Macaca mulatta: one gene and its partner. The protein of the gene in region 1 binds, or shares a complex with, the protein of each later gene. Links are inferred from orthologs where the notes say so. Each region holds a gene or a part of one and is shown in the gene's direction. Other genes may lie near its edges.

Region 1 (4,449 bases):
TGCTGCCCAAGGCCCTGGCTCTGGGCCTCATCATTACCTGCTCATCGCCTGGCGGCGGAGGGAGCTACCTCTTCAGCCTCCTTCTTGGAGGGGACGTCACCCTGGCCATCTCCATGACTTTCATCTCTACGGTGGCTGCCACTGGTTTCTTGCCTCTGTCTTCAGCCATCTACAGCCACCTGCTCAGCATCCATGAAACACTCCACGTGCCCATCTCCAAAATCCTGGGCACCCTGCTGTTCATCGCCATCCCCATAGCAGTGGGCGTGCTGATCAAGTCCAAGCTCCCCAAGTTCTCCCAGCTGCTGCTGCAGGTCATCAAGCCCTTCAGCTTTGTGCTCCTCCTGGGCGGCCTTTTCCTGGCCTATCGCATGGGGGTCTTCATCCTGGCAGGCGTCCGGCTACCTATCGTACTGGTGGGTATCACAGTGCCCCTGGTTGGCCTGTTGGTGGGCTACTGCCTGGCCACATGTCTGAAGCTGCCTGTGGCCCAGCGGCGGACGGTCAGCATTGAGGTAGGGGTGCAGAACAGCCTGCTGGCCTTGGCCATGCTGCAGCTATCCCTCCGCCGCCTTCAAGCTGACTATGCCTCCCAGGCCCCCTTCATTGTGGCGCTGAGCGGCACCTCCGAGATGCTGGCCTTGGTCATTGGCCACTGCATCTACAGTAGCCTGTTCCCAGTTTCCTGAGGCCTCTGGGTCAAGCTTTCATCAGCCCCAGCCCCCACACTCCACCAAAGTTCTCATGCACTATGCACTCAGAAAAATCCAGGCTTATTTTTTTTACTGATTTTTTATTCTCCAGCTTTCAGTGCCACAGAGGCCATGCTGAGTTAGGTAGGTGGGCGCTGCCCAGAAAATATATTTCAATAAAACAGAGAAGCAAGCTTGGGTCCCTTCTAATCTTTGCCCTTTGGGGCCTGGGCGTGGGGGTAGAAAGAGTGTGCTGGGTAGGTGTGGACCAGGGTGGAGGGCCAGCTTGGGTGACACGGTGACCCCTGCATAGGCTTTCTCTATCAGCCCTCCCGGGGCGTGTCCCCACTGTAGGAGAGGTGGGAGGATGAGGGCAGAGGCTGGCCCCCCTACCCCCTCTCAAGCTCAGTGGGGTGTTTCGCAGCCAGACCAGAAAGGAGGAGCCAGAAAGCCACCAGGCAGGGAGCCGGCGGGGGGGGCGCCGTCTGTGGGTATGCAGGGCCAGGTTCCGCCAGCAGTAACGGCGCGTGGGGTGGTCCAGGCAGTCTGCGGGGGCGAGCGTACCTTCTGGTCCTTCCTTCTCCATTCCCTAGCTCCCAGATGACGCCAACCTGGCCCGACTAGTTCCTGCTCCCAACTCCCCGGCGCTGTTGCTTTGGGAGGGGTCCGCCGGCCAGGGCGGTCGCTGCGCGTGTGCTAGGCGGGACCCCAGGGGCACTCCTCCCGGGGTGCAACTGGGCCGGGGGGCGGGGCCGGGGCGTGGACGAGGCAGGAGGGCGGGGCCGGGAAGCGCGGGCGGCGGGCGCGCCCCTCTCGCTGCTTCCGGCGGCGGCGGGCGGTTCCAGCGCGCGCCCGGGGCGGCGGCGCGCGGCGGGGGGTGGTTGGGGTGCGCGCCGGCCCGAGTGGACGCCGTCGCGACCGCCATGCAGCTGACGGTGAAGGCGCTGCAGGGCCGGGAGTGCAGCCTGCAGGTAGGGTCCCCGGGCCGGGCGGCCGGGTCCGGCGCGCTCTCTCGCCGGCTCCTGGCAGGGTGACCAGCAGGGCCAAGGGCGGGCACGGGGCGGCCGGGCCGGGGACTGGGAGCCGGGAGAGCTGCCCTCGGGAGCGGACGCGTGGGCTTCGCCGCCTGGGGACCGCGGCCTCAACCCTTGCCTCCCACCCTCCGCGCGGCCAGGTGCCGGAGGACGAGCTGGTGTCCACGCTGAAGCAGCTGGTCTCCGAGAAGCTGAACGTCCCCGTGCGCCAGCAACGGCTGCTTTTCAAGGGCAAGGCCCTGGCAGGTACCCAGGGAGAGGAGACGCCCAGGGAGCCCCGCAGGAAGCGGGACTGGGGTGCGCGGGCCGAGGCCGGCAGCCGTGTAACGGGTTGGGGTGCCGGCGCCAAGCGCCACATGACCCCAAGGGAGGCGGCCGCATGCCTCACTGCCGGATGCCGCAGCGCTCCGCTCCCGCCGCCCGAGGCGGTCTCGCGTCCCGGGCCACCCCCACGGCGGCGGAGGAGGAGGAACCCATCGATCTGTCTTTGGCAGATGGGAAACGACTCTCGGATTATAGCATCGGGCCCAACTCCAAGCTCAACCTAGTGGTCAAACCCCTGCAGAAGGTGCTACTAGAAGAAGGCGAGGCCCAGAGGCTGGCCGACTCCCCACCCCCGCATGTCTGGCAGCTAATCTCCAAAGTCTTGGCCCGCCACTTCAGTGCGGCAGATGCCAGCAGGGTCCTGGAACAGCTACAGAGGGTGAGAAGGGTAACCCTGGGTATCCTCTCCAGGCCCAGTTCCTCCCAGCCCCTACCTCTGTTGCAGTGTATGGCTCCCCACTGGCAGCCCCTGAATCTTCCTGCCCTTCTCTCCCCAGGATTACGAGAGGTCCCTGAGCCGCCTGACGCTGGACGACATCGAACGGTTGGCCAGCCGCTTCCTGCACCCTGAAGTGACTGAGACGATGGAGAAAGGCTTCTCCAAATAGCATTCTCGGAGCATGGGGAGGTGCCCAGTGCCAGGCCACAGCAGCATGTCACACTAAGTGTGTTCACCTGTTGCAGTTGGGCTCATAATAATAGCTGGCATGTACCTGGCTCTGGCCACGTGCTAGGCACTCCTCACAGCTTGACCTGGGTTTGCTTCCACACCCTCAGAAGAGGTGAGCCAGCACAGCAGAGGCACTGGCGGTGAAGTGGCGGAGCCCCAGTCGGAATCCAGCGGCTTCTGAAAGTGCCTTGGTGTGAGAAGGAGGAAGGGGCTGCTTGGAGAGCTGGGCTCTGGCATGTCATGTTTAGCCCACTGAGAATATACCCTCAGGTGACTCCTTCCCAATCCTGAAAGGGAAAGCAGCTGTCACCTGACCTCTGGCGGGTCCAACATAGCCTTCAGCTTACCTCTGCAGGAGGCCAAGTGACAGCCAGCCCTGGAACCACCACACCCCCAGCAGCTGCTGCAGCCAGTGTGCTTTCGACAAATGAAAAAGCAGGTTGGGGCCAGGGAGTCAGCAAGTCACCCCAGCTCTGTGATGTGACTTCGGGGGAGTCTCAGTGCCACTTTGGTCCCCAGCCACGGACTTTATACAGTGAGGGCCACTCCCCGACCTGAGTCAGTGTCCTTCGTCTCACAGTGCCCCCCTCCCTTCTGTTCAGTAAACAAACTGAAGCCAAAAGCGAAGCAGTGGCCAAGTGTGACCCAGAGATGGGGTGTCCTGGCCCTTAGTGACACAGCTCCTCTCTGGGCACCCTGTCTGCTTGTCTCCTCCAGGAAGCGTTAGGGCTGATGGGTGACTCAGCAAGGCAATGTCAGAACTGGGGCTGGGCATAGGCCTTTGTCCTCGTCCCCAGCACTCGCCTCCCTGTGGAAGATGAACACATCAGCCACCTGTGTACAGCCGCTCACTTCGTGTGCTCCTTGTTGCCTGAGAGGAAACCTTGGGGTGCCAGGGTGGGGACAGAAACATGGGCTGGGTTCCGGTTCCTTCTCCACTGTGCCCTGTGCATGGGCACAAGAGGACATCTAGCCACCTGCTCCTTGGAGGCCCCCAGGGGTGGTAGAGGCTAGAAGGAAGCCACAGCAGGAGGACGCCACTCTGGGCCCTCCACCCTTGCCAAGTGAGCCGCTCACAGTGTGGTCGGGGCTGCACGTGCTGGAGGCCCTCCTGCCTGGGCCTGATGGGGCAAATATTGGGTCCCCGGGCTGGAAAGATGGACAGAGGCCCAATGGGTGAAGGCTTTGAAGAGCACACAGAAGCCCCTGGCCCCCCACGAGAGCTGGAGAGCCATGTATATGGCTTCAAAGCCACCTATGGCAGGGACACACTTGTGAGCATGGGTGGCCTGCAGCTCAGGTGATACATTTACCAGTGCTCTTGTTTGCGTGGTGCCAGGAAATTGATTTTGGAAAATGAAATAACATTAAAGGTGAATGTGAGACTTCCACTTTTATCCAAAAGGAGCTATATTAGCTAGGCTGTTTCTGATATCCAATCATTGGTTTAACAATAAAGGCAATTTGTTTAATCAGTAACGGAAATTTCTTGGCTTATGAAAGTGAAAAGCCCAGTGGTATCGGCATTGGCAGCAGGGGAGCAATTCTTCCAGTGTCTTCCTGCCTCCCTCTGCGTTTGTGTCTGCCACATCCCAGGCCACCACCTCCAAGGATGAAAAGGTGGCTGCCTGCAGCTTCCACAGAATCCCTCCCTCACTGCCTCACTGCCAGAGCAGCACCTTCTCTGTAGCACCTCTGCTGTCTCAGATGCCTCCAGCAAATAAACACC
Region 2 (2,602 bases), on another chromosome or scaffold:
TGGGTAAAAGCCCCTAGTGACACGTGGGGGAAGGGGCCCTGGGAATTCATTGACTCTGAACCCTTCATTTTAAAGATGAAGAAAATGAGGTTTAGAAAAAGAAAGTGTAGTAATTAGTGTCACTGCTTTCTGACAACCTGTTCAGAGGAAGAGGTAGGTAGTTGTGCTGCCTGACTCTGTTAAATACCTACCATATTTCTGCTCTAAGCAGTGAAGATCAGAATGTAACTCTCCATCTTCCCAGACCCATATGTTTGTGCCCTCTTGATGCCGTATTATTTCCCTATCTGCATTCTCACCTCAACCTTCTGTTCTTTGTTCCTTTTCTATTTGCCAGGCAACACAGACAGCCCCTCCACCACCCCCACCTCCTCCACCCCCACAACCTGCCCCAGAGCAGCAGACCATGCCCCCACCAAGCTCCCCTTCTGGTGGGGCAGGGAGTCCTGGAGGCCTGGGCCTTGAGAGCCTATCACCGGAGTTTTTTACCTCAGTGGTGCAGGGTGTGCTGAGCTCCCTGCTGGGCTCCTTGGGGGCTCGGGCTGGCAGCAGTGAAAGTATTGCTGCCTTCATACAACGCCTCAGTGGATCCAGCAACATCTTTGAGCCTGGAGCTGATGGGGCCCTTGGTGAGCAAAAGGGGGTGCTTTGGCTTGCTCCAGGAAGGGGCAGCCAGAGGAAGGTAGATGGCCTTGGTTTAGGGGTGTTGCCAAGGTGGGATGAGGTTGACACCTGGTTGTGGGTGGGCAAGCCAGGTGGTAAAGGCGATTGCTAACATCTGCCCCTGTCCTCCAGGATTCTTTGGGGCCCTGCTCTCTCTTCTGTGCCAGAACTTCTCTATGGTGGACGTAGTGATGCTTCTCCATGGGCATTTTCAGCCACTACAACGGCTGCAACCCCAGCTGCGATCCTTCTTCCACCAACACTACCTGGGTGGTCAGGAGCCCACCCCCAGTAACATCCGGGTAAATGAAGGCCAGGGGCCCCAGAGCTCTCCTCCTTTGCACATTTTATTCCTTGTTTCTGACTGCTTCTCTGCCAGGTAAAGCTCCAATTGCCCCCACACAAGCCCTGGACTTGTTGGGGTCAAGGTGGAAGTCTTGGGAGGACCGAGGCTTTGAACTAAACCTGTTCTGTTTCCTCCGCAGATGGCAACCCACACATTGATCACGGGTCTAGAAGAGTATGTGCGGGAGAGTTTTGTGAGTAACCCTTCTCTATTCCCCTCCTCTCCTGGGTCTGGTCAAGGCAGCTGCCTCCTCCGTTCCCAGTCTTACGATTCCTGTTTTTGTGTATCTTGTCTCTCAGTCCTTGGTGCAGGTTCAGCCAGGTGTGGACATCATCCGGACAAACCTGGAATTTCTCCAAGAGCAGTTTAATAGCATTGCTGCTCATGTGCTGCATTGCACAGGTCAGTGGCTGGCCAGGCTGGGGCAAGTGGGGCCTGTTGGATGTGCAGGGCTGCCATGTGCCAGCATTCCCTCATTGTGTTTTGCCCACAGATAGTGGATTTGGGGCCCGGTTGCTGGAGTTGTGTAACCAAGGCCTGTTTGAATGCCTGGCCCTGAACCTGCATTGCTTGGGGGGACAGCAGATGGAGCTTGCTGCTGTTATCAATGGCCGAATTGTAAGCACCACCTAGCCCCAGGTCCTTAGCCTTTTGTTTCCTGAGGTTTCCATTCGCTGCAGTTTTCATTTTTGTTTTCTAAACTGATGTTCTATACCCCAGATCTAATATATTAGGAAAGGTGGTTGAGGGTTTTATGTTCTAAATCTGCTTTCTGCCCCTCAGCGTCGTATGTCTCGCGGGGTGAATCCCTCCTTGGTGAGCTGGCTGACCACTATGATGGGACTGAGGCTTCAGGTGGTACTGGAGCACATGCCCGTAGGTCCTGATGCCATTCTCAGATACGTTCGCAGGGTTGGTGATCCCCCCCAGGTAAGGGACCTGTTGGGCAGTGGGGTCAGGGTACTTGAGAGAACTGGAGAGATCTGAGAGGAAATATGTTGTTGTTTTTTTTTATTGAGACAGAGTCTAGCTCTGTTGCCCAGGCTGGAGTGCAGTGGCACGATCTCGGCTCACTGCAAGCTCCACCTCCCGGGTTCACGCCATTCTCCTGCCTCAGCCTCCCGAGTAGCTGGGACTACAGGCGTCCACCACCTCGTCCGGTTAATTTTTTTTTTTTTTATTTTTAGTAGAGATGGGGTTTCATCGTGTTAGCCAGGATGGTCTCGATCTCCTGACCTCGTGATCCGCCCGCCTCGGCCTCCCAAAGTGCTGGGATTACAGGCGTGAGCCACCGTGCCCAGCCAAAATATGTTGTTCTTTAATTTCACAGCCTCTTCCTGAGGAGCCAATGGAAGTTCAGGGAGCAGAAAGAGCTTCCCCTGAGCCTCAGGTACTCGGGAGAGGGGGAGGTTGAGGGGCCAGATAATGTGGAGTGGAGGGCTGGGGGAGAAAGGTTTGGAGGTGGCCGGCGCGGTGGCTCAAGCCTGTAATCCCAGCACTTTGGGAGGCCGAGACGGGCAGATCACGAGGTCAGGAGATCAAGACCATCCTGGCGAACACAGTGAAACCCCGTCTCTACTAAAAAAAAGACAA

What was found.
Region 2: the proteins of UBL4A (region 1) and BAG6 are in contact, whole or in part, in a crystal structure (PDB 4X86), measured with the Homo sapiens proteins. The link is inferred for Macaca mulatta from reciprocal best matches to the Homo sapiens genes UBL4A and BAG6. Residues at the interface, in NP_055050.1 of Homo sapiens: Val95, Leu98, Ile99, Val102, Leu103, Arg105, His106, Phe107, Ser108, Asp111, Arg114, Val115, Gln118, Leu119, Asp122, Tyr123, Glu124, Ser126, Leu127, Ser128, Leu130, Ile135, Leu138, Arg141, Phe142; in NP_001092004.1 of Homo sapiens: Gly1052, Pro1053, Leu1055, Leu1057, Ala1060, Val1061, Ala1064, Ala1065, Ala1067, Ala1068, Ala1070, Arg1071, Pro1072, Leu1073, Thr1074, Ser1078, Leu1079, Asp1082, Leu1083, Glu1087, Val1088, Ser1091, Tyr1092, Gln1095, Leu1096, Asp1099, Ile1100, Arg1103, Leu1104.

Annotation. Positions count from the first base shown.
Region 1 is NC_133426.1:160,668,905-160,673,353, reverse strand, and holds the start of UBL4A (ubiquitin-like protein 4A), read left to right. Parts: upstream 1-1,607; 5' UTR 1,608-1,615; coding exon 1,616-1,663; intron 1,664-1,866; coding exon 1,867-1,972; intron 1,973-2,220; coding exon 2,221-2,429; intron 2,430-2,547; coding exon 2,548-2,658; 3' UTR 2,659-4,449. Other genes in the region: SLC10A3 (P3 protein), read left to right, coding at 1-689. UniProt on the Homo sapiens protein: As part of a cytosolic protein quality control complex, the BAG6/BAT3 complex, maintains misfolded and hydrophobic patches-containing proteins in a soluble state and participates in their proper delivery to the endoplasmic reticulum or alternatively can promote their sorting to the proteasome where they undergo degradation.
Region 2 is NC_133409.1:150,681,004-150,683,605, forward strand, and holds part of BAG6 (large proline-rich protein BAG6), read left to right. Parts: intron 1-337; coding exon 338-629; intron 630-795; coding exon 796-965; intron 966-1,148; coding exon 1,149-1,202; intron 1,203-1,308; coding exon 1,309-1,411; intron 1,412-1,502; coding exon 1,503-1,627; intron 1,628-1,792; coding exon 1,793-1,939; intron 1,940-2,339; coding exon 2,340-2,399; intron 2,400-2,602. UniProt on the Homo sapiens protein: ATP-independent molecular chaperone preventing the aggregation of misfolded and hydrophobic patches-containing proteins.